Linked DNA regions of Coturnix japonica. The protein of the gene in region 1 interacts with the protein of each later gene in a pairwise test. Links are inferred from orthologs where the notes say so. Each region holds a gene or a part of one and is shown in the gene's direction. Other genes may lie near its edges.

Region 1 (3,500 bases):
AAATATTTTATAAAACTGAAACGTTTTGAGCATTGTTCAAATTGGAGGCATTTTATAGCTTGTGTGCCTTCGGACAGTGAGGTAGAGCTAAAACGTATTTGTTTTTGTAAACCCATTGTATTTAAATGATACTTACAGAGAAATTCAGCATTTCTCCTTGACTGTCAAACTTAGAGATGAGCTGTTAACCAAACCCAAACAGCTGCCAGAAAAGTACTCCTTACCTCCATCACCACCTGTTATCCTCCCAATACAGATCATGCTGAATCCTCTGCAGAAAAGATTCCGCTACCATTTCACTGGAAATAAACCAACCAATGTTTTAAGCAAGGTATGGAAAGAAAAAAAAACAGTTTAATTTTATTGCTACTATTTTTAGCAGCATTAAATTACGTAGCTTTAATGCTTTCATTTTGGAAATTCAGTTTCTTAAAATACGTGGTACTTGTATGTACTGTATGGACAGGCATCAAGGCAGTGCTTGGAGACCTTTGAGAGGACTAACATCTTTTCTGGGCTAGGCAATGTTTTTCTGAAATCATTCCTGCATTCGCTCCCATCATTTCAGAAGCATAGATTAATTTAGTCTTTGTCTTTACAAATTGTTTTGCAGTGTTCAGTATTGCTTGAACTCAAAGACTGTATAAGGCTCTGACTTTGATTTTTGTTGTTGTGTTTTGCAACGTTCATGTGACTGAAAATACTGGATCCTGCTGCTGGTGTATAATGGGTATAATTCTATTTGCCATGTGTCCAGTTTACTAGTTGGAAATTGACTTGCTTTTTGTATGAGTTATCTCCAAAGGCTGAGTCTTTTCATCCAAGAACTGTCATGTAAGCAGGTTTCTTACAGGTGTAACGTTAGCACTGCTGTAATGCTTCTGCAGCAGGATTTGAGAGACACTTTTTGTAAGAGATTAGATCTGTGTGTTTGTGTTGACAGTCTTAGGCAAATCAAAGTGTATTTGCACTCTGGCAGTTGCTACTACAGCGTATTTTTAATAGCGTTATGTATATTAGTGAGTTCACTAATTTAATTTTCTTTTTTAAATAAGCCTGAGTGGTATTTGACACAAGTGCTCATGTGGATTGGAAATCACGCCAAGTTCCTTGATGACAAAATCCAGCCAATATTGGACAAGGCAGGATCGCCAGTGAATGCTGGGGTAAGCACCTCAGTGGTTTTGTGTATGTATAAGTACCTACACAGCTTGTGCAAGCAACTCTTCTGCTGATCTTAGTGTGCAGTGAGACTTAACACAGTCCAGCAACAGTTTTAGAAGTTAAATACATTTGCACATATTTATACATGTCTATACCTCTGATTTTTCTATTCACTTTTTTTTTTTTTTTTTCTCTTTTAAAAGCTTGAATTCTCTCGTGCTCTGGTAATGCTGATTTTGGAGAAGCTGGCTACTGATATTCCATTTGTGTTATATGACGACACTCTCTTTTGTCACCTTGTGGATGAGGTACTTCTGTTTGAGAGAGAGCTATTCAGTGTTCATGGTTATCTCAGCAGCTTTCCCAGTTGCATGCATATTCTCTCAGAAGAGTCCTGCTTCCAGAGATGGCTGACAGTGGAAAAGAAATGTAAGACTTGGAAGGAATTTTGTTGGTCTGTATATGTTTTCATTCTGATTGGGCAATATATCAATTCCCCAGGTAGGATGAGCCACTTAAACTACAAAAGACATGTTTTTGAGGTCAGCAGTGAGTAGAATGCCCAGGGGTCAGCATTGGTGCAGTCCTGCTTAACATCTGTACTGATCTGGACACTGGGTGGAGTGCACCCTTGGTAAACTTGCAGATGATACAGGACTATGGGAAGTGGCTGATTCTCCATAGGGCTGTGCTGCTACCCAGAGGGCTGTGGACAGGCTGGAGCCCAGGTGGGCTGGTTATGGCGAGAAACAACTGCTGGCACAAGGACATACTGGAGGCCACCCAGCTGGAAAGCTGTTCTGCAGAAAGGGATGTAGAAGCCCTGGTGGACACTAAGTTGAACGTGAGCCGGCAATGTTCTCTTGCTGTCCTGAAGGCTAATGGTGTCCTGCATTAGGCAAAGTATTGCCAACAGTTCAAGAGAGATGATCCTTCCTTCCCTCTATGCTCAGTACTGGTGAGACCACTACTCCTGCAGCAGTACTGTGTCCAGTTCTTCCCCCGCCAACATTATGTGGGGAGACATGGACATACTGGAAAGAGCCCAGTGTAGGGCCACCAAGATGATAAAGGGACTGGAGCACCTCTGCTGTGAGGAGAGGCTGAGAGCTGGGGCTGCTCAGCCTGGAGAAGAGGAGGCTCCAGGAGATCTCATCACCATTCCGTTCCCCTCTACTCTGCCCTTGTGAGGCTCCACGTGGAGTACTGCTTCCAGGCCTGGGGCCTCCAGCACAACAATGACGTGGAGTTATCAGAGTGGGACCACAGGGCCATGAAGATGATTAGAGGACTTTAGCATCTCTGTTATGAAAAGGATGAGGCAGCTGGGATTTGTCAGCCTGGAGAAGAGAATCATAGAATTACTCAGGTTGAAGGCCTCAAAGATCATTAAGTCCAACCACAGCCTAACTGTAGTACCCTAACAACCCTCTGCTAAATCATATCCCTGAGCACCACATCCAAACAGCTCTTAAACACATCCAGGGACAGTGACTCAACCATCTCCCTGGGAGCCTATTCCAGTGTTTAACTACCCTTTCTGTAAAGAAGTGCTTCCTAACATCCAACCTAAACTTACCTTGGCACAACTTCAGGCCATTTCCCCTTGTCCTGTCACCAGTGAGATTTGCCTCTTGATGAGAAAGCTCTAGGTAGAGACCCCATTGTGGCCTTCTGGTAGTTAAAGGGAGCTTATTAACAGGAGACACGATCTTTGTTAGTTTGCTGTGGAGGACATGGCCCTGGTCACCCTGTTATAGGTGCTCCTCCTTAAGCAGGAGTTTGGTCATACAGACCCAGGTCCCTGCCAGCCCCACCCATTCTGTGATACTCCAGTATTCTGTGGTTATTTTGACTAAAAATTGGTTTGGCTGCAGTACTGCTCCTGAAGTTTATAGGACCATTGCCCCTAATCTAGTATGGTTATTTAACATATAATCTAGGGATCTAGTATGTTTATTTTTAGATAGTGTTATACGCTTATTTGTGCAAAGACTGACTTGAAATTGAAACGAAGGGAAGGTATTAATTTTTGAGGAAATGGGGAGGAAATATACTGGAAAGGAACCAGTCATTTAAAACAGAAACCACAGTCAACCCTGATGTTCTGTTTGTGTCTGTAGTGCTGTTACTGCAGCTGGTTCTATATAAATCAAGTCATCGGTAGTTTTTCTTTACATGAAGACGTTAAATTCAATTTATTGGAGATAAAGATTTTTATATTTATGGTTTTTTGGGCTTTAGATAATTGCTTTTATTATTAAGTACTAACAGCATTTACAATTCTTTTGCATCTCAGTTGCTCTTCAGAAAATGGACTCTATGCTTTCATCAGA
Region 2 (4,138 bases), on another chromosome or scaffold:
CCTGGCTGACATTGGCACAGCTGGAGATGCCGGAGCCCTGGCCCAAGGCAATGAGAGCAGGGATCAACCCGCTGAGTCCTTCACCTATGAAGAAGGTGGTGAGGTATTGGGCCTGCAGCTGCATCATGAAGGGCAGGAAGGTGACAGAGGAAGTGCAGTCAACCAAGGACAAGAAGAAGGTGAGGATCAGGAATGCAGTGCTGTGAGTGGTCCCTGCGATGGGGGATGTGTAGTCCCAGAGGAAGGCCAGCAGCAAGCAGGCCACGATGCCCACAGACACAACCACATAGATCACGACCACCTCCTTCAACGAGCCAGGCCAGAAGCGGTGCATGAGGGTGACGAAGAGCGGCCCAATGTTGGCCATCTGGATGATGATGGTGATGTAGGAGGGCAGGTCCCACTGCTCCGGCAGCACACTCACCAGCAGTGGCAGCTCGACCCACAGCCCGTTGATGGCCACCCAGGAGCCCGTGCCAAAGACACAGGCGAGAAGGTGAGTGAGCAGCGCCATGGCTCAGGGCTGGCTGCCGCCGTGCTGTGGGGAGAAGCTTCATTCAGAGGTGGAGCTCTGTACCCCAAGCCCCCACAAATGCTGCCTACATCCCCTCTCCTACAGGCAGCCCCAGCTGCTTCTCCTGCAGCACTGAGGATGGGCAGAGTGGCATAGCCTAGCAAGCAGCATGAGGCCTTATGCCACCACGGGGACCCCTCAGTGCCCCACAAGGTGCCCTGCTCTGCCTGAGGCACCCACCCTGCTTGGGCACAGAGACTGGAACGGAGTAATGTGCTAGAGCTGAGCAAGCTTAGCACGGCACTGCCTGTATGGCCTAACACAGCCATAGCATGGACTAGTACAGCCTGGCAGGACATGAAAAGGCCTAGCATAGCCTGGCACAGCATGGCATGGCTTAGTATGGTCTAGCATGGTCCAGCACAGCACAGCATAGCACAGCAGGGCACAGCAGGGCAAAGCATGGCCCAGTACAGCACAGCAGGGCACAGAATAGCTCAGCATGGCCCAGCATGGCTTGGCACAGCACAGCATGGCCCAGCATGGCCCAGCCCAGCTCAGCATGGCTCGGCATGGCTCGGCACAGCACAGCATGGCCCAGCCCAGCTCAGCATGGCCCAGCATGGCTCGGCACAGCCACTGTTGCCTCTCACCTGTGGGCTGTGATTCCTATGCAGCCTCTCTCCCGGTACCCTTGGTCTCTCCCTTCCCTCCGCATCCGCAGGCAGCTCCCAGCCGCTGTTGTCCTCCCGCTGACTGCAGCCCAGCTCCGGGCCGGTGGGGCAGGAAGGTCCCGCGGCTCCACCTGCGAACAAAGCCCGGCTCATACCTGCGGGCTGACTCAGCCCCGCACCGCCACTGCCCGCCCCGAGCCCAGAGCAGGGGGGACCCGCACGGCCCCGCGGATGGGGGTAAGGGGATGGGGGTAAGGGATAAACGGGGACGGGCTGCGGGGTGGGTGACCCGAGGAAGGCAGCGCTTATGGGGCCGGAGCCGGCCTTTATATGACCTCATGGCGGAGGGAGGTGTGCGGAGTGGTTGTTATTACGGAGCGGAAAGGGAGGAGGGAGGAAACAGGAACCGGGTCGGAGCCGGGCTGAGCGGCGGGGCAGCTCCCGGTCCGGAACTCACTGCGCTGAGCGGGGCGGACACGCGGTACCGCCGGACCGGGATACCGGGCCGTGACGTCACACGGACACGTGACCGCCCCCCCCAAAACACCGGGGCGGGGGGAACCGGGAGGGGTCACGTGACCTCGTGCCGTGCCGCTGGGGGGTCCCGGCAGGTCGTTGTTGGGGGGGGGGGTATTTGTGTTATATGGAGCTGTTGGAGTGGGGTGGGATGAGATAGAGTCATAATGACAATAACAATGAACGGGCTGTGGGTTTTGGAGGGGTGGGGGGGGGTCTTCTTCCTAAGGGATTCCCATATCATTGTGCATGGCTGGGGGCAGAGTGACTGCAGCCATCCCATTGTGATCCCATTCCATAAGGAACAGCTGGAGGGGCTCGGGAACCCACCCCCCTCCCACCCCATTCCTGCTCCCCTCCCCAACACACCCAGGAGCAGAGATACAGGGTCCTATAGTCCCCCCCACACCCCCCACCTCAGCCCCAGGTGCTGGCTGGGACCCCAACACCCCAAACTCAGCCCTAGTGCACAAAGTCCCCCCCTCACCCCCCAGCCCAGCCCAGCCCAGCCCCTCCTGTCCCCACGTACCAGCAGGGTCAGCCCCAGCCTGCTGCTGCCTGGCTGCAATGCCAGGTGCTCTGTGCAGTGCTGTTGCTAAACCTGCACACCCTGTCTTGGCCGAGTGCCGGCATTTATTCCTGGCTGTGACACACGGACTTTGCCCTTGTCCTCAAAAGATCTGTGTGCCACCTATATCAGGCTGCACCTTGAGGGTGCAAATGTCAGCGTGCAGTGCTGTGTGGGATGGATGGCTGCAGGGCTGTGTGCCTTGGGAGCACTGAATGTGGCTGAGATGTGGCTGTTCCTGCAGGTGTGCATTGTGCACATACACTCCTCCAGCTCTGCTCAGCCAACACAGGGTGCACGGTGGGATGTGACCAAGCACCCAACCGTGCCTTGAGCTGGCAGGTGTGATGCTGGGAGGGGCTGCAGAGGGCAGATCCAGCTGGGCCTTGTTGCAGCACAGCCTGGCGTGGTCTCATCCCAGCACCCAGTTTCCCCATCAGCAGCTCTTCCCCCAGCACCCACTGGGTGTCGCTGGGAGAGCGGGCTGCGATGTGCTGCCTCGTGCAATGCCCTGCCTGTCCCTTATTGCCCTGCCTGTGCCCTGCAGCCAGCCCATGCACCAGGAGCGGTGGTGTTTCTGCATCTGAGTGCCCTGTGTTGCTAGGAGGCACCGGGGGCTGATACAGCTGAGCCTCTTGCTCCCCATGGGGATGGGGGCAGCAAGGGGACAGCGGCTGTGCCTTGTTCATCCTGCAGCACAAAGGAGCCCGAAACCAGGACTAATTGGCTGTGGCACAGGGGCCGGGGGGCACAAAGGGTTGATGGGCACAGGACTGAGTGCTGCTGCACGCTTCTTGCCCCAGCCCAGCTGACACGTGCTGCCTGCCGTGCAGGGGGGGCTGCCCCCCACCCCGTGCTGCACCGCACGGCAGCTGAGCCCCGGCCCCTCTGCACCCCGGCAGATGCGAGCAAAGGCCCCAAGGCAGATGGCAACATTTGGTCAACGAGCGGTCCCGGGCCATGGGACTGTGCTGGGATCAGGCAGGAGAAAGGCCCACCAGGAACCACCCCCTCCCGTGTCCCCAAATGCAAGGCCATGTCCAGCGTGGGTGAGGATGCAGCAGATCCTCTTGGGTGGGGAGATGCAGGTGATGAGAGCGGGGCTCCATCCCTCATTCCGCAGGCCCTTCTCATAATGAGGATCACCAGTAAGGAGCACAACCCACCAGTGGGACCCCAGCTGTCCCACTGGAGGGGGCCCTGTCATACAGGCTGGGGAGCCCAGCCAGAAAGTGGGGACCAACAGCGGGTCGCTGCCCGTGGCCCCTTCCTCCCCTTCCATTCTCCTCCTCCTCACAGCTCCCCATCACCATTTGCATCCCATTTCCATGTGAATGGAGCAGGTCAAGTTGAAAGTTGAAAGCTGGCGAGGGGCGCCTGGGGAAGGGGCCTCTGCCAGAGGTGAGAGCCCAACAAAAGGGGCCGCATCCCCAGGGCACTGCGCTCGCATGGCTGCGGCCACGGCCCTGGCCCCAGCACAGCCGCCCTTCCACCATCTGCGGGTCCGAGTGCAGCCGCTGCTGCTCAGACAAAGCCCTCACACCCGGCACGTCCCCATCTGTTGGATCCCCTGCACCCGGGATCAGTGCAGCTCTGGCCCTGAGCAAGGCTGCTGTATGCAAGGATGCGCATGGAGGGATATACATGGAGGGATGGTCATGGGCAGCATCCAAACAGTGGGCATGAGGTGAGGCTGTGCCCGTGAGAGCACCCCTCAATCATCCTTGTGGTCTCTAAGGAGCTCCCTGTGCCCCACAACAGCCATTCAGCATCAGGGAAACTGAGGCAGCGAGTGGGCAGTGGCTGTCCTGGGTCAGGGCAGAGGCATTTCCCAGCTCCAAAGCTATCTGCAGCATTGTCTGGGTG
Region 3 (3,500 bases), about 150 Mb from region 1:
TTTCAGGTATTTTCTTCTAATTTTCTGAGCTTTCTTTTAAATAAACGGATCCTACCTGAAATGTAACAAATATCGAACAGACAAAACAAAACAAAAAACAAAAGAAAAAAGGAATTATTCAGCCTTTTTTTCTGTACATTTAGTTGTGTTGGTTATCCCTATCCAGGAACAGATTCATTCAAGAAAGAGAAAGTACTGAAAACAAAGATGACATCTTCAAAGAGTGGCTTAGAGTTGTTCACCTGAGAAGAGTGTTGGCATGTTTTCACAGAGCATGAAGATGAGGCATAGATTCACAGCCTAGCTATTTTACAGTGCATGATTTAGTGGGCAGTGGTAGTTGTAGTAGGAAAGGAAGAGGAGGGGAAAGATTGAAATAGAATGTATGATAGTACATGATTAAATGAAGATAGTACATCTATTTTAAGTTGGAGTTTTGCCAAGGTACTTGTGACTAGCTCTTAACTTGTGATGGAATATAGTGATATACTCCTCTTCCTGTTGTTAAACATCTGTACTTTAATACCTGAGCTGTCTGAAACAGGGCATGATTGCTCTCAGGAGATGTGTCTGATAATAGTATGGTTTGCAGATGCCGTATGGAAAAGAGTAGTGCTGCTTCTGCTACACACTTTATCCTTTTTGTAGTAAAGGATATTACAAAGAGCAAAGTATGCTTTTTTCCTAACTTATTTATATTTAAATGCAATTTTTTTTTGTCTGTCTTTTCAGCTTATGGAGAAAACTGACAGAGACTACTACACTCTGGATGATATGTTTGTTTCCCAAGCAGCAAAAAAAGCACGCCTTGGGGAAGAAGAAGAAACACAAAGAAGAAGAGCAATACATGAGCACCAGCAGCTTGCTGCACGCATGGAAAAGTGTCCTTACTGTTTTGATAGCGGTGAACTTTCTAAACATCTTATTATTGCAATTGGTACCAAGGTAAGAAAATAGCGATTTAGCACAAAATTAAATGTAAAAAAGAAAGAATAGTGGAGTGATTGAGTTAAAGAGCACAGTTGCTTCTTTATTTGATTATTCTGCCTCTTATACTCCCTGCCCTTCCAGTTGATTTCAAGAATTCCTCAAAGATTAGGGAGAAAAAGATATGAATCTGTTGTGAACTGCAAAGCTAGTCTTTGATATCAGAACTTCTGATTTGTGGAAAACATAAAGCAATAATGAAAGATCTAAGTAAATACTGTAGGTGGATTTGTGGAAGGCTAAGTCATACTACACTGGAGGAAATTTGAACTGATAAAGATCTGTATCTCAGTGATTTCAAAGAAACCCAAGTGGAGGATTTCATTCTTAAGCTTAAAATCCTTTGGAATAAACAAAACCAAACCATCCTCATTTTGTTAATTCTTTTAAAATATGTATAAATATTTGGATTTATAGCAGCCCTTGCTGTAAATACTTTGCTGTAAGTAGAAGATAATGTCTTCTATTGGTTTGAACTGTAGCAGATGACGTATTTCTTCAACTTAGCGATGAGAATATTTTAAACACTAGAATAATAGGCACTTCAGTTTTTGTTCACTCTTCATAGGTATACTTGTCTCTGCCAAGCAACCAGTCCTTAATTGAAGGTCACTGCCTGATAGCTCCTTTACAACACCATACTGCAGCCACTCTTTTGGATGAAGAAATCTGGGAAGAAATCCAGGTCAGATAAGAAACTGTCTCATGTTCCAACAGCTTTGTAAAATAATATTGTTTTGAATGACACGGTACACGCTTGAAAAGTAGGTACATGAGAATCTAATGAGATTTAACAAGGCAAAGTGTAAGGTGTTGCATGTGGGTCAAGGCAATCCCAGATATGAGTTCAGACTGTGAGTAGAACTTATTGAGAGCAGCCCTGCCAAGAAGAACTCGTATGTCCTGAAATCTTGTTCCATCAAGATCACTGCTTTCACAGAATCACAGAATCACAGAATTGCCCGGGTTGGAAGGGACCTCAAGGATCATGTAGTTCCAACCCCCCTGCCTAGCAGGGCCACCAAACATACACATTTACTAGATCAGGTTGCCCAAGGGCCCGTCCAACCTGGTCTTGACCACCTCCAAGGACGGGGCATCCACAACCTCACTGGGCAGCCTGTTCCAGGACCTAACCACCCTTCTAGTAAAGAACTTTTCCCCTAACATCCAACTAAATCTTCCCTCCTTCAACTTAAAACCATTTCCCCTAGTCCTGCTGTATATCAGCCCTTTTGAAGAGTTTACTCCCTCCTGGGAGTAAGTTCCCTTCAGGTACTTGAAAGGCTGCAATGAGGTCACCCCGCAACCTTCTCTTCTCCAGGCTGAGCAAACCCAACTCCTCAGCCTGTCCTCATAGGGGAGGTGCTCCAGCCCCCTGATCATCTTTGTCGCCCTCCTCTGGACCCTTTCCAAAAATCTCCATATCTTTTTGTACTGAGGGCTCCAAACCTGGACACAGTACTCCAGATGGGGCCTCACAAGAGCAGAGTAGAGAGGGACAATCACCTCCTATCCCTGCTGACCACCCTCTCCTGATGGAGCCCAGGATCCCATTTGGCTTTCCGGGCTGCCAGAGCGCACTGCTGGCTCATGTTAAGTTTCTCATCTATTCAGGACCCTAGGTCTTTTTCAGCCGAGCTGCTCTCAAGGACAACTCCCCCAGCCTGTACAGGTGCCTGGGGTTCTTCCGGCCCAAAGTGCAAAACCTTGCACTTTGCCGTGATTGAACCCTATTAGGTTCACCCGAAGCCCAGCTTTCCAGCCTGTCAAGGTCCCTCTGAAATGGCATCTGTTCCCTCCACCGTATCGACTGCACCACTCAGCTTGGTGTCGTCAGCAAACTTGCTGAGGGTGCACTCCATTCCCTCAATCGATGTCATTAATAAGATGTTAAAGAGCACCGGTCCCAAGAACAGACCCTTGAGGGACGCGCTCGTTACCGGCCTCCACCTGACATAGAGGCATTGACCACCACCCTTCTGTCCTGCGGCCTTCAAACCAATTGCTTTATCCATCTAGTTGTCCACCCATCAAATCCACCTCCCTCCAATTTGGAGATGAGGATGTGATGGGGGACCATGTCAAAGGCCTTGCTCAGGTCCAGGTAAATGACATCGGTTCGCCTTCCCTTCAACCACCAACTGCCGTACTCCATCATAGAAGGCCACAAGATTAGTTAAGCATGACCTTCCCCTGGAGAAGCCATTGGTGGCTGTCTCGGATCACATGCTTGTTCTTTATGCGATCAAGCATGTTGTCCAGGAGGATCCTGTTCCATAATCTTCCCAGGCACACGAGGGTGAGACTCACCGGCCTGTAGTTACCCGGGTCGTCCCTGCTCCTTTCTTGTAAATGGGAGTGACGTGACCTCTTCCTCCAATCATCCGGGACCTCACCCTGACAGCCACGACTTCTCAAATATGGATGGAGAGCGGCTCAGCAACTCACCTCAGCCAGCTCCTTCAGGACCCTGGGATGCACGCCATCTGGCCCCATAGACTATACTCATT
Region 4 (3,500 bases), on another chromosome or scaffold:
AATCATAGTGTACTGAAGGGCTCCAAACTACTAAAGCAAAGCCCAAAAATTCAAAACTAGGTGGTGAAGGTAGTACATTTAAAGTTGGCAGGAGAAATATACATTTTTTAAATCTTCTGCCTGATCAGCATTGAAAGAAAGCAGGATGTGATCATGCAATTAATTTTTCCCTTGGTCTTCTCAAATTTGGGCAGACTTTTCAGATTATATGCTTTCAGTAAAGTCATGATGTTCAGTCAGCAATGTGTCCTCTTTCTTCTTCCCAGTGTTTCTCCAGGCCTGCTGCTCATTTTTGCTAGCTCCAGTAGGTCTTGTTCCCATTTGCTATGATGGAGCATTGGCCTGCAGCAAAGGAAAGCAAACACACCAGGGGAAAGAAGGAAATGGAAGAAGAAAATGCAAAGGGTTAAAAAAATACTGATCCACTTCCATTTACTCACTGAAAATCCACACACAATAATGGAGGTCCTGCACTCATGACAGTGCACACTGAAGCATAGTACAGTTTTCTTTTGATTAATGAATCTTCAGCACTTTCTCATTTCTCTCGCTGGCAAAACTGTCCCCAGCATGGTGCTTTGAAGTGAGCCAGAACTGGTCAGAAGGATCATCTCATGTTCCTTCAACCTTTAGTCTCATCCCAAAGCTGTGTAAAGGAAGTATAGCCCAGAGTAGCTGGAGACAAACTCAGGGTTTCATACAACTTGTGTGTTTTGACTGATTAGAAATCTTCCCAGTACAAACTTGCAGTGGAAGTTTTGCTGCTAACACGCAGCCTGACCTCAACTGAAGATTACTTGGGATGAAGTAAGCTTTAATGGAACACTGCTCTTTCTCTGAGCAGATGATTCATCCTCCTGTATTCTGCCACATGAAAAGGATTAATGTGGATTAGCTCTTGTAATTCAGTCTGTGTCTCTCTTTTCTGTCACTCTGTCTTCCCCTGAAAGACAGAGCACTCTTGTTGAATACTGGCGTGGCCATCCATTAACTCTGGGACCTTCTGACCACATACCTACACCATGTAAACATTTGTGTTTCGAATAGCAGTGACAGCAAAAACAACCTTCAACATCAGCAGGCAGCATATAAAATTAGCTGTATTTTTAGATTTGTGTTCTAATTCTTAAAATAAATTGAAGCAAGAATTCCTTTGGGTTTGGGATCATATTTTAGAGTAATAAAACTTAGGTAATCAACTGTAAGATGAAACTTCTCATAAATGTTGACTCATCTCTTCAGACACACCAAGTAGAAGACTGAATAGTCATTGCACTTTACACAGATGATGATTGCATTACAATTTTTTTCCTGAGATTTTTTTTCCTTGTTTCTCAAAAGAGAAATCCAGTGTAGTGCTGGACTACCAAAGCCAGTGGTGCATGCCCATGAAGTTATTCCACCTTTCAGAATATGCAAACTTTGCCAAATTTAGTAGTTCTTTATTGAATATACTGCTCTTTCCATGACTTTAAAGGGTAATGTTCCTCGAATGTATATGAGGCGGCTATATTCCTGCCTATAATTAAATCCTTCTGTACAATCCTTAGAAGCTTTTATTTCTTTTTGCTGTTTAATTTATATGCAAATCTAACAAGGCAGCACCCTTCCTGCACTTTTCCATACCCATCCTGCTGTTCCTCGCATACTCTCAGTTTCTGTGTATGTGACTGAAAAACGATGATCTCACCACAATCTGTTGAGCATCTCCTACATCAAATACTGATTTGGAGCAGGATATTAAAAGTCTCAAGTATCTCCATTTCTTTCAGGTCTAAGTCTGCCAGACTGCTGCAATCATGCAATGCTGCACAAAGCACCAGTATTGTGTGTAGGTACATGTGCTACCCTCTGCTCTGGCTGTGGAGAGGTTTCTATAATCCCATAACCCCATCTTTGCCACAGACTCATTGCTGTTACATACAAATGTGTTCCTCTGGCCCAGTACAGTGCTGGGTGTCCCCTGTCCCCATGGGGCTCCCAGCCCCTAGAGCACCATCCCTTGCCGGCTCCATGCTGGTGCTGGAGTTTTGAACTGGTAAAGGTAGTGCAGCAGGCACCACCTCACTCTCCCTGCCCTCTCAAGAGCTGTGTTTGCCTTTCAAGCTATTTTGTAATTTGTTTTCCAGATGAATAACATATATATAAATTTTTTGATCAATGTTCTGGCCTTTATACAAAGCCTCTATTATGTGCAGAAACATTTTTCATTTCCCTGAGATGAATGCTCTGTAGGTGAATCTCAATATTTCTGCATCACCAAGAGATGACAAAAGGATGGTCTATTTAAACTGTCACAGGCTCTCTTTAGTTCCTTTGTCTGACAACAGAACTGGCTTTAACCTGTGGTGCCTCAGAAGATAATTTCTCTGGCATTTTAAAACTCATCTGTTTCAACTTCCAATCAACTATGTATACTCAATGTTCCGTGCTTTGTGCTGTGCACAAACTACACAAGCTAGGATATTTGTTTCCTTGGTCTTGTTACAAGTGCATTTGATGGGAGCAGGTGGTTTCTCCTGGGGGGGGGCAGGTGTAGAGGGGACTTTCAGTCATCCTTCACTGCTCAGGGAGGTGTGCAGAGCAGAAGTCTCTGTCTTCTAGCTCATGTTGGATGATTTTATGATGTTATACAAATATTTACATATACACTAAAGCAAATCATCTTCCTCCTGTGAAAAAAAGTAGATGTATTTATGTAATTACATACACATATATTACACATTGTGTTTAGGTATGGTAAAGACAGGAAAAAACTGGATGCATATATTACCTGGACGTAAGCTGGTTAAGTATTATTCAATTAATGCCATCATTCTCAAATCATCTGTTTGCTCGTTTGAAATGTGACAAGATATTTTACTGAATGCAGCTGATAGAGTTTAAATAGAAAATGACAAGTTATTCCTATAAAACACCACATCTTTTTTGCCTGTTGCCATTCCAAACCTGATTATCCTCCACATCTGCTTCAAGCCAGAGGATGCTGCTGTCTGGGCACTCCTACACTCCGGGTAGGCATCCAAAGACTGCAGGCAGCTGGAATGATTGTGTAACTGCGTTTCAGATTTAAATTAGCTCACCGTTAAGATTAGACAGCAGGAAACCAAGGAGGAGCTGGCCCAGCAGGGTGAGCTGTGGACTTTTTCAGGTCACCTCAAACAGCTGGGAGCCACTAGGAGTTTGCAATGCATGGACACCATGTGTGTTGTCACTGCAATTCAGGGGACTGCTGGTTGAATGCTGAGTGCCTTCTACTTCCCCACCTTCATATGTGTCCATGCAAAAGTTCTCTCATCTCTGGTTTGGTTGCAGATGTGAGTCAAGTATTGCACAGCTATCAGGAGACATCCGTGTTATCAGGCATGAAGTCCAGAACATTGATAAGGAGATCTACAGCCTCCGCTCTACCCTCAAAAATCATGTTGGCAGATTTGAGAAGATGGTGAGTACAGAAATTCACAATATCCAGTGAGTGATGATGATGCACATGTAGAGTG
Region 5 (3,926 bases), on another chromosome or scaffold:
CACCTGCAGGTAAAGTCAAATTCTTCATTCTGAATTAGAGAAAAATGCAAAGCAGAGGGAAGTTTTGTGTGCACAGGCACGGCCCTCTGGTTTATGCCAACTTCAGAGGTAATTTCTACATAACCTTGTTAGTGGAGTGTAATATCTGGAGTGTTGAGAACTCTTGCAGCTCCTATCTGTAAGCACTGCAAATGGGGGTCTGTGGGGATGATACAACCAATGCAGGTCAGAGCAAATATAAAGTTATTGAAGTGGAATTGTCTTCCACTCAGAAACTTGTTCTTCCTATCCCAGAGGTCTGGGTATGTCAGGGTTAGGGGAAATAACTCTGTTTCTGATAGAAGACTGCACTAAAAACTACACCAGAGTTAAAGATCTCATTGTACTTAAATGAGAGTTTGTTCACTACTATATACTGAAAGCTATTTTGTATTTAGTTCTGACTAAAACTAAATGAAACTGCTTATCAGTCAGGGCTGAGCTTGTTAGGGGCCCTGGGGATCTGTGCTGAAGTAGCTGCAGCTTGCACAATGGATTAGGAAGTTTAATAGCTGTTAGAGGACTGAAAGTCAACAAGGGAATACCAGCACTGTTGTGTTGTAGTGAACAGCAGCAACTTTCAGGGCCGATCACATCTTTAAGGCCATGTTCTCCTATTGGTTTGCAGGCATCTTGGACTTCTGCAGACAGGACACCTGTGCTCATTGATCTGACAGCTGCTTTGCAAGGCAAGAGCCGCCACCAATGTGAGAACAAGGAAATCAGTCTAGTCCTGCCTGTCTGCAAGGAAACCGTCACCCCCGGCCATGTATGCTGATTATCTTTTATCATAACCTTTGTTTTCTGCAGCAAGTAGATGTTGTTTATGGTCATGTAATACTGCTCCCGTGTCGTGCCGTTCCCGTTTGCAGCAGGGGTCGATCTGTACCATCCCTTCATTGGGGTCGATCTGTACCATCCCTTCATTGGGGTCGATCTGACCCATCCCTTCATTGGGGCGCAGCGCTGCCGTGACCGGCTCCGTTCAGCGCCGAACTCGTTTCTTACGTCGGTGCTGCCTCCGTGTGGCCAAAGCGCGGAACTGCACCGGGACGCATGCGCAGTGCGATGTGCGGGCTGACGCACAGTGCTCTGTGTCGCCTGACGCATGCGCAGAGCGCCCCGCGGCCCGTCGGTGCGGCCATGGCGCTGGTGTCGGCCGACTCGCGGATCGCGGAGCTGCTGTCCGAGCTGCAGCGGCTGCTGGGGCACACGCAGGTGCGGGGCTGGACGCACAGAGCGAGCGGGGCGCTGCTCTGCCGCACCGACACCATCGGGCCGCTCTGGGGGCGGTGCGGGGCTGTAGGGTGCTGGTTCGGGGCGGCGCTTTGTCGCACGGGTCCGGATTTGGGCTGTGGGGCTGGAGGTGGGGTGGTGGTGCGGGCAGCCCCCGTCATCCCGCTGCATTGCAGGAGGAGCGGTCCCGCAGCGAGCACAACCTCATCAACATCCAGAAGACGCACGAGAGGATGCAGACCGAGAATAAGAGTGAGAGCGGGGCCGGGCCGAGGGGCGGCGTGAAGGGGGATGAGGGGGCAGGGCTGGGAGGAGAGCAGGGCAATGGGGAGGGGAAGGGGTTCAGAGAGGAGTGTTGGGCAGGGGCAGCTTTGGGGCCGGGCTCGGGAACGGGGCGGGGTTTGGGGACAGCGTGTTCGATGGGGACTTGGTTTCACAGCGTTCTTACCTCCCCCCTCCAGTCTCGCCGTATTACCGCACGAAGCTGCGCGGGCTGTACACCACCGCCAAGGCAGATGCTGAGGCCGAGTGCAAGTAGGGCGGCCCCTTCATACCCACATCCCCATACCCTACACCCTTACCAACCCTACACCCTTACCAACCCTACACCCTTACCAACCCTACACCCTTACCAACCTTACACCCTTACCAACCTTACACCCCACCAACCCTACAGCCCACCAACCCTACACCCCCACCAACCCTGCACCCCACCAACCCTACACCCTGCCCCGTGCCCCCCATACATGACAGCTGCCCTTATGGCTCTGCAGCATCCTGCGCAAGGCGCTGGACAAGATCGCTGAGATCAAGTCTCTGCTGGAAGAGCGCCGCATTGGTACGTGCCTCCATTGAGCCCCCAAGTGTCCCTGACCCCCACGTGTCCCTGACCTCTCTTTTTCTATTTTTACACCCCAAATCCCTGGAATTACGCCCAAATCTCCCTCTGTATGCCCCCCCCCACAACTGCCCTCCCAATCTTGGTGTCACTGTGTCCACCCCCCCACTGTGTCACAGCTGCCAAGATCGCAGGGATCTACAGTGACGCGGAGCCGCCGCGCAAGACGATGCGTCGTGGCGTGCTGATGACACTGCTGCAGCAGTCAGCCATGACGCTGCCGCTCTGGATCGGCAAGCCAGGTGACAAGTAGGTATTCCCGACCCCACAAGTGCACTCTTCCCCACAGGGTGCCCTAAACTCCCAGACCCACACTCCATCATACCCCACATTGTGCCCTGAGCTCCCAGTTCCACTGGAGTTCTGGTTCTGGACTCAGATTCCAAAGCACGGCCCTAACCCCATGCCTGACATTTGGATCCATAGCAAATCTCAGCCCCACCCTGGGAAACCCAACCCCATCCAGACCCCATCCTGACCGTGCCCTCACCCTTCCTCCCCTCTCCCCCCATCAAACCCCAGGCCCTGTTCCCTGACCCCTGTTGTGGATTGCCAACACCCCCCTGACTGCACTGCAGAACCCCAAACCCCAGCCCAGCCTCACCCTCTAACTCCCACCCACCAACCCACCCCCACCTCATTCTCAGGCCCCCCCCACTGTGCGGTGCCATGCCGGCAGCTGGGGACTACGTGGCCAAGCCTGGGGACAAAGTGGCGGCACGTGTCAAGGCCGTGGACGGCGATGAGCAGTGGATCCTGGCGGAGGTGGTCAGCTACAGCCATGCTGCCAACAAGTGCGTGGAGGGGGCAAGGGGGCGGCAGGTTGGGTGTGGAGGGGAGCAGGAATATGTGTGTGTTGGGGGGGGTTTGAGTGGGGCCGGGGGGGCAGTTTGGGCACTTTGGGGGTGTGGGGCATGGTGTGGAGCACTGCACTTGTTGCTTGTGGGGCCGTGGTGTGCTCTGGGATCGCAGCATTTCCCCTTGTTTTGCTGTAGTTCAGTCCTTTCTCCTTTCTCGCTTCTCCCCACCCCAGGTATGAAGTGGACGACATCGATGAGGAGGGCAAAGAGTGAGCACCCCCACTCCACAACTGCCCTCTCTAACCCCACAGCTGCCCCCGCTCTCAGGCAGCCCCCAGCCTCCTCTCCAAGCCCTCCCAATCCCTCCAACTCCCTCCTTATCACCCCCTAACTCTTCCTAACTCCCTCCAAACCTCCTCAAACCCCACAGAACACCCCAACTCCCCACAGCCCCCCTCCCCATGTCCCCCACGCTCCCAGTTCTCCACAGAACTCTTCTTGCTCTCACCAAATCTTCCCAGATCCCCTCGGCGCACCCCCCCAGACCCCTCTAGCTCCTCCCGAACTCCCTCCCCATACCCGCCACACCACAAAGCCCTTCTCAACCCCTGCCCCCAAACCTGCTCTCCACACCCCTCATCTCCCCCATCCCCAGCCCGTACCCATTGCTTGCTCCTCCCTTCTGCAGGAGACACACGCTCAGCCGGCGCCGTGTGATCCCTCTGCCACAGTGGAAGGCCAACCCTGAGACCGACCCCGAAGCGCTGTTCCAGCGCGAGCAGCTGGTGCTGGCACTTTACCCACAGACCACCTGCTTCTACCGTGCCCTCATCCATGCACCCCCGCAGCGGGTACGGCCACATTTTGCCCTGGAGATGGGCCCTGCCGTGCCCCCAGCTCTCACTCATTACTGATGCTGTTTTCTGCCCCGCACACAGCCGCAGGATGACTAC
Region 6 (3,979 bases), on another chromosome or scaffold:
CGGGGTGATAACGATCTGTTCTAGGAACAGGCGTGCAAAGTGGTGCTTAACTTGTCTGACTTGTTCAAGCATTAAGTGGAACAGGGGGGACTTCAGTTAAACGAATGCTGCTTGTTCAGCTTTGCTTACACTGACACGAATAGACTTGCTGAGCACACGCTGCTGATGTTCCATCCCCACGGTGGCCTCCCTGGCAGCAGAGCTGGGATAACGCCTTGTTCCCAGCTGCTTTCTCCTCCTGATTGAAGCAGGAGTGTTTCTTTGTTCCAGCAGAGCTCTGAGTTGAGCAGCAGAATCAGGCTGCTGTTTTATGCCGGTTCTGCACGGTGGCTTTTTGCAAGCTGACAAGCAAATGTGTTGCTTAATGTGTTACTGGAAGGTTCTGGGTTTGGCACGCTTTGCAGGATTAAAACTTCAGCTGGAGTATCTCCAAACCACAGAGTGACATCACGCATCTATAATATGATTGGAAGTCATCTGTAGCTCCTCCGTCTCGTTGCACTTTTTACTATACTTGCAGTTCAAAGCTTGTTGTGGCTGTTATCCTGCAGGACAACGCTCCCACCAGATGGGTTAACCTGGAAGCTGCATAATTCCCAACGGCTGGAGTGTGATGTGAGGCGGGCAGGGAAATGCCTCCAGAAGGCGGCTGCTTTCTGCAGGGCTGCAGCTCTGGTGCAGGCTTTGCTCTGCTCTCTGCTGCCGTGCCTGGGAACTGCACTGAGTGCCTGCAGAGCTGTGCTGGGATGCGCAGTGCCATCTGTGAGGCCAGCAGGGCTCTGCCTTGGGATTCTGTCTGTGTTGGAACGGGCGGGTGTTTGCTCGCAGGCTGGGGCTGAGTGTGACCTGTTCTCTCCCCATCCCTCAGCTCTGCTGCAGAGGAAGGTGGAGGAGGTGACCAAGGTTTGTGAGAGCCGCCGCAAGGAGCAGGAGCGCAGCTTTCGGATCACCTTTGATTGAAGGACTCCCAGTTCACAACGCTTACCTCACAGCCCCATAGAGGAGAGGTTGGCGGGGACCTGCTCGGCATCTTTTGTTTTGTGTATGTTCCTTCTTTAATTGCAATAAATGTCTTTTTGCTGAAGTTACTCTTTGTGGCGGTGGAGGCTCCTCCTGCTGCACACACACACAACTGCTGCCCCAGGCTCAGCACTTTGTGCAAGCTGGATACTTGCAATCACAGCTCCGTGTTAGCTGGGTCCTTACAGAAGAGGGTTGACAGATGTGAGGAGTCTGATAGCCTCAGCTTCCCACCACGGCCATGTGGGCTTTAATGAGGGGTTAATGAGTTGTGCCTCTAACATCCCGCTTGTAACGCTGTGCGAGCGCTGCGGCACTTCGTCCTCCCCGCCGCCAGGGGGCGCTCGCTCCGCCGCCATCGCCGCGGGTGCTGCTGAGAGTTGGATCCCGGTTGGAGGCCGCGGCCATGCGGAGGTGAGCGGGGGGCTCCGGGGGGGCGGGGGCTGCAGGGCCGAGCGCTGAGCGGTGCTTCGTGCCGAGCAGGGTGAGCAGCAGCGTGTGCAGCGATGAGGTGCTGCTGGAGGAGCTGGAGACGGAGGGGGAGCGGCAGCTGAAGAGCCTCCTGCAGCAGCAGCTGGACACCAACGCCTCCATCGAGCGGTGGGTCCCGGCCGGGGGATGGGGGTGCTGATGGTGCGGCAGCCCCGCTCAGCTCCCGGCGGTCGTTCCGCTCTCGGTGCAGGTGTAAGTCGAAGCGGAGGTGCTTCGCTCCGGCCGCGTTCTACCGGCCCTTCGGGGAGGCGGCGGCCGGGGCTCTGAGCCTGTCCCAGTTCCGAGAGCTGCAGGAGAGCGACAGAGAGACCGCGGCGCTGCGGGACCTGGGGCTGTCCGACCCCGAGATCGAGCTATGGAGGAACCGCGCTGCGGGGAAGGTGAGGCCGCTCCGCTGTGTGACAGCCCCATAAACACCGGCCGGATGCGGAGCCGCCTCCTCTCGGCTCTCGGCCGCCCCACGCGGCGGGGCCCGTTTGACGGCGGCCCCTTGGTTGCAGCGCTCCGGGCTGGGGGCGGCCCCCGAAGCCGTGCGGGAGCGACTCGATGCCATCCAGCAGAAGATGGACGAGAGGCAGCGCATCCTGCAGCTGCCGCAGAGGTTTGCTGGCAGCAAACAGCTGAGCAGGAGGGAGATGGAGATCGAGAACGCTCTATTCCAGGGGACGGACCGGCATTCCTTCCTGCGGGCACTGTACCACCAAGGTGTGCTCCCAGCCCTTCTGCCCTTGGGGCTGTTTAACAGAGCAGGGATCCCACTGCGACCTGCAGGGATGGGGTTGAGCCCTGAGGTGCAGAGCGGCCCCTTTGCTGGTGGGGGACAAGTGCACCGTCACACCGTGTCTCTCTGTTGTGGATTAGATGACACCCCAAGGGTCACAGATGAGAAGGACCCCATGGGTCACCTGGACAGCGTTTACCAAGAGGTGCTGGGCAAGCAGCCGCCTGCAGGGGACCAACCAAGCACGAGTGCTGTGTGCTCCCTGCCTGCCCCAGCCCTGCAGGGCTCTGACCATGAGGACTCATCACCTCCTGACCAGCCAGGCCAGGCAGGGAGCCCCAGCCCTCCATCAAAGCTCCAGCAGCCCCCTCCAGGGCCTGTGACTATAAAGGAGCCTGTGGAGTTCATCCCAGAGGAGGAGATCTGCAGGAACCGGCTCTCTGAGGAAGAGCTCCGCAACATACCTCGCTTTTCTTCCTACCGTCCTGGGGAGCCCAACAAGGTACATGGAGATGAACCACGCTTTGTCCATCTTCCAGCCAGGAAAGGCTCTTTGCTCCTGCCTGGCAGCTGCGTGGAGGTGCCAGCTCCTGCGTGCGTGGGGGACTCCGTGCTGGTAGCAGAGCTGAGCTGGCTCCTATATGTGAGGTGTAAGGGCTGGCAGTGGGTTTATGTACACCCGTTAGCCGGGCACAGGCCGGCTGACCCCAGTGCCTCCACAACAGGTGCTGTATGTGAAGAACTTGGCCCCTCGTGTGACCATGCAGGACCTGGTGTCGCTGTTTGCCCGGTTCCAGCAGGACAGCACACCCATCCAGTTCCGCCTGCTGAGCGGCCGCATGCGGGGCCAGGCCTTCATCACCTTCCCTGGTGAGCTCAGCCTCCTGCCTGGCCCTTCCTCCTATCTCCCCTTCATCTCTGCTCACATTTTCTGTGTGCTGGGGGAGGACTCATCCAAACGTGCTGCTGGGTTTCCTGCATGCTGCTTTCTTGGGCTGGGGGCTGCAGCGCTGCGTCACGGTGTGCATTGAGAACCATTCTGCTCTCTCCTTGCAGATGTTCAGTCAGCTCAGGACGCGATGCTGTTGGTGAACGGGTACAAACTGCATGGGAAGCCCATGGTGATTGAATTTGGGAAAAGCAAAGTGCCATCAACAGAGGCTGAGGCTGCTGCTCCCTCCTGCTCTGCTGGAGCACCGCCTGCTGCCACGTAAGGGCTGGAGGAGCTCGTGGACTTGAACAGGCCCTGAGCTGGCCTTGCTGAGGACTGGTGGGAGCTGAGTGCAGCTCTGTGCAGCTGCAGGGCAGGGTGAGGGCTGACCGCAGCCTCAAGGTGCTGAGGAAGCACAGCTCTCCTCTGTGCTGCTGGTACATGAGGCTCTTCAGGGGGGCTGGTGCTGGGTGCTCCTCATGCACTGTTCTCACACTGCCGTTGGGGTGCTCCACCTGTCTGTGTTATCAACCCCTTGTGGCGAGGAAGAGGGGAAGCTGTGTGAACAGATGTGCTGATATCGTGTATTTCTGGATCTTTATTTGCACGTCAGTGTGCTCCTTTGAGAGAAAAGGGACTCGTGTGCAAGGAAGCATCATTTTTCACACTTGAATGTTTTAAAGCATCAGCATCGTTTGCCTTAAGGTGGTGCTTTGGGTGCAGAAGTTGCTGGGGCTCTGATATACTGGAGGTTGTCTGCTCTCACTGGCTGAGCTGCAGCCACTGTTCAGCACAGGAGCTCTGTGTCCAGCAAA
Region 7 (3,500 bases), on another chromosome or scaffold:
TGATAAATGTTGTATCTTAAGAATTAATAGAATACTATGGAATAAAGGATGGTGTTCATATAAAATTTAGCTTTGGACGGATGCAAAGTACATTGTATCTTGCTATTTCCTAGTAATCTGAGGGAGGGTGGTTGTTTCAGTGGGCTTTCCTTGTAGATTTAAATTAGAAGGAAACCAGAGGGGTGGAAAAAGGAGGAAATAATTATTGAGCTTCTGTTTGTTTGAAGAACTAGCAGAGTAATGTGAGATGCTGTGGTGAGTGTTGGAGTTGTGACTGCCCAGGTGCCTTTCTGGACAGGAATCTGGAGGGTGCGGTTTTCCAGTCATGGGGGCTGCACAAGGCAAAGCTGTTGGCTCGGTACGTCTGTGTGTGTGCAGTCCTGCTGCAGCCCTTCTGCTTTGGAGCTGTCTGACCTCGTGGTGAGCCATGGCAGGGAGCACAGCTGAAGAGTGGTGGGCTGGGGGCTGTTTGCTTTGGTTGAGCTCTGAGTGTCCTCATACATGGATTGGATGAGCTTCATTGTTGGCTCAGAGTTAGAAGGAATGTGGTTTGAGGAAAGGGGCCACTGCTCTGAAAGCAGCGGATCAGATTTGGTGTCATAGCACAACTCCCAGGGCTGTATTTCCTTCGTGTCAGCTGGAGGAAGCAACTGAGGGAAGCTTTCCTGGATACGAGCCTAATGGGCTGAACATAGCTAGGGTACAAATGGAGGGCTTCACAGCCAGGGTAAGGCACCTTTGTGGTTACAATTTTCTACAAAGAAACAACAGTAGGGAAAAAAAAGTACATTTCAGTTACTACTTGTTAAACAGGGATGAGAGATTCATGGATGAGAGATTCAAGGGAAGCAAACAGGGAACAAACTGCTGGCTTACCTGTTGTGCAGTAGTTTGGTCTGGGTTGTACTAACAGGACAGAGCTGTGTCTGTCTGGTGTCGCTTTGATAAGAAGGATCAGTTGGCACAAGAACCTGCATGTGTGGAAACCGGGGAGTTGGAACAAATAATACATGAATGTGAAAGTGAAAGGCTTGGAACAAGGTGCTGAGCAGTGAGCTGTGAATGTGCCTTAAGAAGGGAATATTGTATTTGTACTAAGAGGAAGACTTGATTATGCTTGATGCTGAGCCGTTTAAAATGCATCAAGGGCAGCTGGCAGGTTTGATTCAGAACCGTGCTGGCAAACTGAGGTAACTGCTGCACTTTAAAGCAGAAGGCTCCAGTTTTAGATGAATGAAGTGCTGCATTTGAGTGGGAGGAATCAGCTGTGCATCCTCACAGTGGAGGATGAGTGCAGAACAGAAACTGGAAGCTGTGGTGGGCTGGCTGGCTGTAGTTTTTAACGTGGTTTTGTATTGTAAAATGAGCTTCCAGATTCCTATTCACACTCGATGTTTATCATGGGGAGGGAGGTGGCTGAGGCACCAGTTGAGTTGTTGAAGCGGGGTGCAGTGTCCCTGTTGGTAGTTCCTGCCCTAACATGGCGGTTTCGGTGGTAGGGAGGTTCTGGTGATAGTCTCTTGTGATGAAAAAATAAAGTAAGCCAAGAATTCACTTCAGGTGCGGCGTCTCCCCCAGGGCTGAGGTTTACCAAATGCTGTGTCCTGTGAGCTTTGTTTGTGGCTGTGTGATGCCATGTTCTCACAGTTCAGCTCTTCTCATAAGAGATGGCTGAGCAGGACAGATGTGGGTGAACTCTGCAGCGTGTTTTAGCTCATCGCTTCTTTCATACCACAGTGAATTCTTGCACCAGATCTATGCCTTGCAGCAGGATTTAGTTGGAGGCTGAGCTCTGTCTCTGCAGTTTATGGTAAAGCTGATTTTACAGTTTCTAATGTTGTTTTATTTGAAAGGTGATCATTGTATTGAAGAGGGGTAAACTGAAGTCTGGCAGAGGTGTTACAAGGTGATACAGCTGAACGCTGGTAGGTTCTTACTTCACCTGTGGAATCAGTTGCCCTCTCCCCCTGCCCTTCTGCTGTAGTTGCTGGTATCAGTATCTCAGTAGCATTATAGCATCCCACTGACAGAGCTGTATGGGCACGGCTGGTGCTGCATTGCCTTATGGCACCTGGGAAGGATCGTTTGAATGCAGACAGCAGCAAAGATGTTTTGCTGCAAGGGAAAGGGTGCAGTGTTACACTGTGGATGAGCTGCTCGTACCTGCGTGTGAAGGTTGTGTGTGTGTGTGTGCTTGGTGCTGCTAACTCTCACAGGCTGAGCTGCTGCTACCTGCTGTCCTGACAGACTGAAAGGAAAGATGGAATGCGTTTCAATAGCAGCATTAGTAGGTTCCAGTAGTTTGCAGCATTGCTGGCCTGTTACTCAGACTGCAGGAGCAGTTGCAAATGCAATTGACTTTTAAGCTTGAGAAAGTGCTGTTTTCTGACAGCTAATTATTCTCATTGTGATGGTTTATAGTTTTATATTAAGCACTGATGGGTTAGGAGGGGGAATAAGGAGAGTGATGTAAAGCATTGTGATAAACAAGAATCAGCCGTTTGGGTTAATGGGATAAGTAGTTGGTTTTCTTTATAATAGAATGTGCTGGCTGCCCTACTTCATGTTTCTCTGTCATTGCTGTCGATAAATTGCCATAGCGAATAACAGAAAAAACTGCTGTGAATGTGTCTGCAGCTCCTTGTTGCAGTCTGTGTGTCTCGTCCATCTGTAGTGTCTTTCCAGAAATACGAAGGATGGATTTATGGAAGGTGCTGTGCCAAGAACATGCAGCTTTGCTTAGGAACTGGAGTCTGCTGTGTTTATATAGGAGAGAGGGCTCCACCTACTGGAGACAGCTGTGAGTTGATAGAGCGTGTTTGGGATGAGCAGTTTGATAAGCAGGTCTCTTATGTCCGATCTCATGGTTTGGGATTTGGACCATTTGTGAGGAAGTAGACGTGTCGTGTGTCATGTTTTCAAGTCTGAGCTCTGAAAATGTACTTTGAGCTTTTGTTAATGTTGGCTTCCTTTTATTTTAATAGGAACATCATCTCCAACGGGCTATCTCAGCACAACAAGTATATGGAGAGAAGCGGGATAACATGGTTATACCAGTCCCAGAAGCAGAAAGTAATATTGCATACTATGAATCTATATATCCTGGAGAATTTAAAATGCCAAAGCAGCTGATTCACATACAGCGTAAGTAAAGTTGGAGTTCCCACCAGGAACTTTATTTTACCAGCACGTAGAGATTGATCTTAAATGCATTTTGAGCTCCTATCAAGTCTAGATTGTGAGAATTAATTGTCATATTAAGTTCTTGTTCAAGAAGTAGATAATGTCCTTCTATGTCTGTATGTTCATACTTCAGTTTTAGTAATTCCACTGAGTTACACGTGTGTCAGGGTGCTGTTGGTGCTGGAACATGGCAGCTGCTCTGCTTGGTGTGGACCCTGCCATGAGCACATTACATTGGACAACTTTCAAAAACATTATAAAAGTCATTTAAAACTGTCCCGTGGGGTAATTACCAGACCTTAAAAATTATCTTTTGT

What was found.
Region 2: the proteins of RINT1 (region 1) and FAM110A interact in binary tests that used the Homo sapiens proteins (3 or more experiments, as listed by UniProt). The two-hybrid records come from large-scale screens. The link is inferred for Coturnix japonica from reciprocal best matches to the Homo sapiens genes RINT1 and FAM110A.
Region 3: the proteins of RINT1 (region 1) and CWF19L2 interact in binary tests that used the Homo sapiens proteins (3 or more experiments, as listed by UniProt). The two-hybrid records come from large-scale screens. The link is inferred for Coturnix japonica from reciprocal best matches to the Homo sapiens genes RINT1 and CWF19L2.
Region 4: the proteins of RINT1 (region 1) and FAM81B interact in binary tests that used the Homo sapiens proteins (3 or more experiments, as listed by UniProt). The two-hybrid records come from large-scale screens. The link is inferred for Coturnix japonica from reciprocal best matches to the Homo sapiens genes RINT1 and FAM81B.
Region 5: the proteins of RINT1 (region 1) and SGF29 interact in binary tests that used the Homo sapiens proteins (3 or more experiments, as listed by UniProt). The two-hybrid records come from large-scale screens. The link is inferred for Coturnix japonica from reciprocal best matches to the Homo sapiens genes RINT1 and SGF29.
Region 6: the proteins of RINT1 (region 1) and RBM41 interact in binary tests that used the Homo sapiens proteins (3 or more experiments, as listed by UniProt). The two-hybrid records come from large-scale screens. The link is inferred for Coturnix japonica from reciprocal best matches to the Homo sapiens genes RINT1 and RBM41.
Region 7: the proteins of RINT1 (region 1) and EPC1 interact in binary tests that used the Homo sapiens proteins (3 or more experiments, as listed by UniProt). The two-hybrid records come from large-scale screens. The link is inferred for Coturnix japonica from reciprocal best matches to the Homo sapiens genes RINT1 and EPC1.

What each region holds. Positions count from the first base shown.
Region 1 is NC_029516.1:12,593,500-12,596,999, forward strand, and holds part of RINT1 (RAD50-interacting protein 1), read left to right. Parts: intron 1-174; coding exon 175-331; intron 332-1,055; coding exon 1,056-1,166; intron 1,167-1,367; coding exon 1,368-1,593; intron 1,594-3,463; coding exon 3,464-3,500. UniProt on the Homo sapiens protein: Involved in regulation of membrane traffic between the Golgi and the endoplasmic reticulum (ER); the function is proposed to depend on its association in the NRZ complex which is believed to play a role in SNARE assembly at the ER.
Region 2 is NC_029535.1:9,125,469-9,129,606, forward strand, and holds the start of FAM110A (protein FAM110A), read left to right. Parts: upstream 1-1,338; 5' UTR 1,339-1,425; intron 1,426-1,516; exon of another isoform or gene 1,517-4,138. Other genes in the region: SLC52A3 (solute carrier family 52, riboflavin transporter, member 3), read right to left, coding at 1-514.
Region 3 is NC_029516.1:161,582,775-161,586,274, forward strand, and holds part of CWF19L2 (CWF19-like protein 2), read left to right. Parts: intron 1-732; coding exon 733-945; intron 946-1,555; coding exon 1,556-1,672; intron 1,673-3,500.
Region 4 is NC_029547.1:51,192,829-51,196,328, reverse strand, and holds part of FAM81B (protein FAM81B), read left to right. Parts: intron 1-3,315; coding exon 3,316-3,445; intron 3,446-3,500.
Region 5 is NC_029530.1:7,882,920-7,886,845, reverse strand, and holds the start of SGF29 (SAGA-associated factor 29), read left to right. Parts: upstream 1-1,126; 5' UTR 1,127-1,182; coding exon 1,183-1,257; intron 1,258-1,451; coding exon 1,452-1,527; intron 1,528-1,736; coding exon 1,737-1,809; intron 1,810-2,048; coding exon 2,049-2,113; intron 2,114-2,292; coding exon 2,293-2,422; intron 2,423-2,820; coding exon 2,821-2,967; intron 2,968-3,206; coding exon 3,207-3,242; intron 3,243-3,661; coding exon 3,662-3,824; intron 3,825-3,911; coding exon 3,912-3,926. Other genes in the region: melanotransferrin-like, read left to right, coding at 1-9, 668-708. UniProt on the Homo sapiens protein: Chromatin reader component of some histone acetyltransferase (HAT) SAGA-type complexes like the TFTC-HAT, ATAC or STAGA complexes.
Region 6 is NC_029519.1:1,848,402-1,852,380, reverse strand, and holds the start of RBM41 (RNA-binding protein 41), read left to right. Parts: upstream 1-1,179; 5' UTR 1,180-1,426; coding exon 1,427-1,434; intron 1,435-1,503; coding exon 1,504-1,620; intron 1,621-1,702; coding exon 1,703-1,892; intron 1,893-2,012; coding exon 2,013-2,217; intron 2,218-2,373; coding exon 2,374-2,735; intron 2,736-2,958; coding exon 2,959-3,103; intron 3,104-3,289; coding exon 3,290-3,447; 3' UTR 3,448-3,979. Other genes in the region: NUP62CL (nucleoporin-62 C-terminal-like protein), read left to right, coding at 869-960. UniProt on the Homo sapiens protein: May bind RNA.
Region 7 is NC_029517.1:12,811,081-12,814,580, forward strand, and holds part of EPC1 (enhancer of polycomb homolog 1), read left to right. Parts: intron 1-2,984; coding exon 2,985-3,144; intron 3,145-3,500. UniProt on the Homo sapiens protein: Component of the NuA4 histone acetyltransferase (HAT) complex, a multiprotein complex involved in transcriptional activation of select genes principally by acetylation of nucleosomal histones H4 and H2A.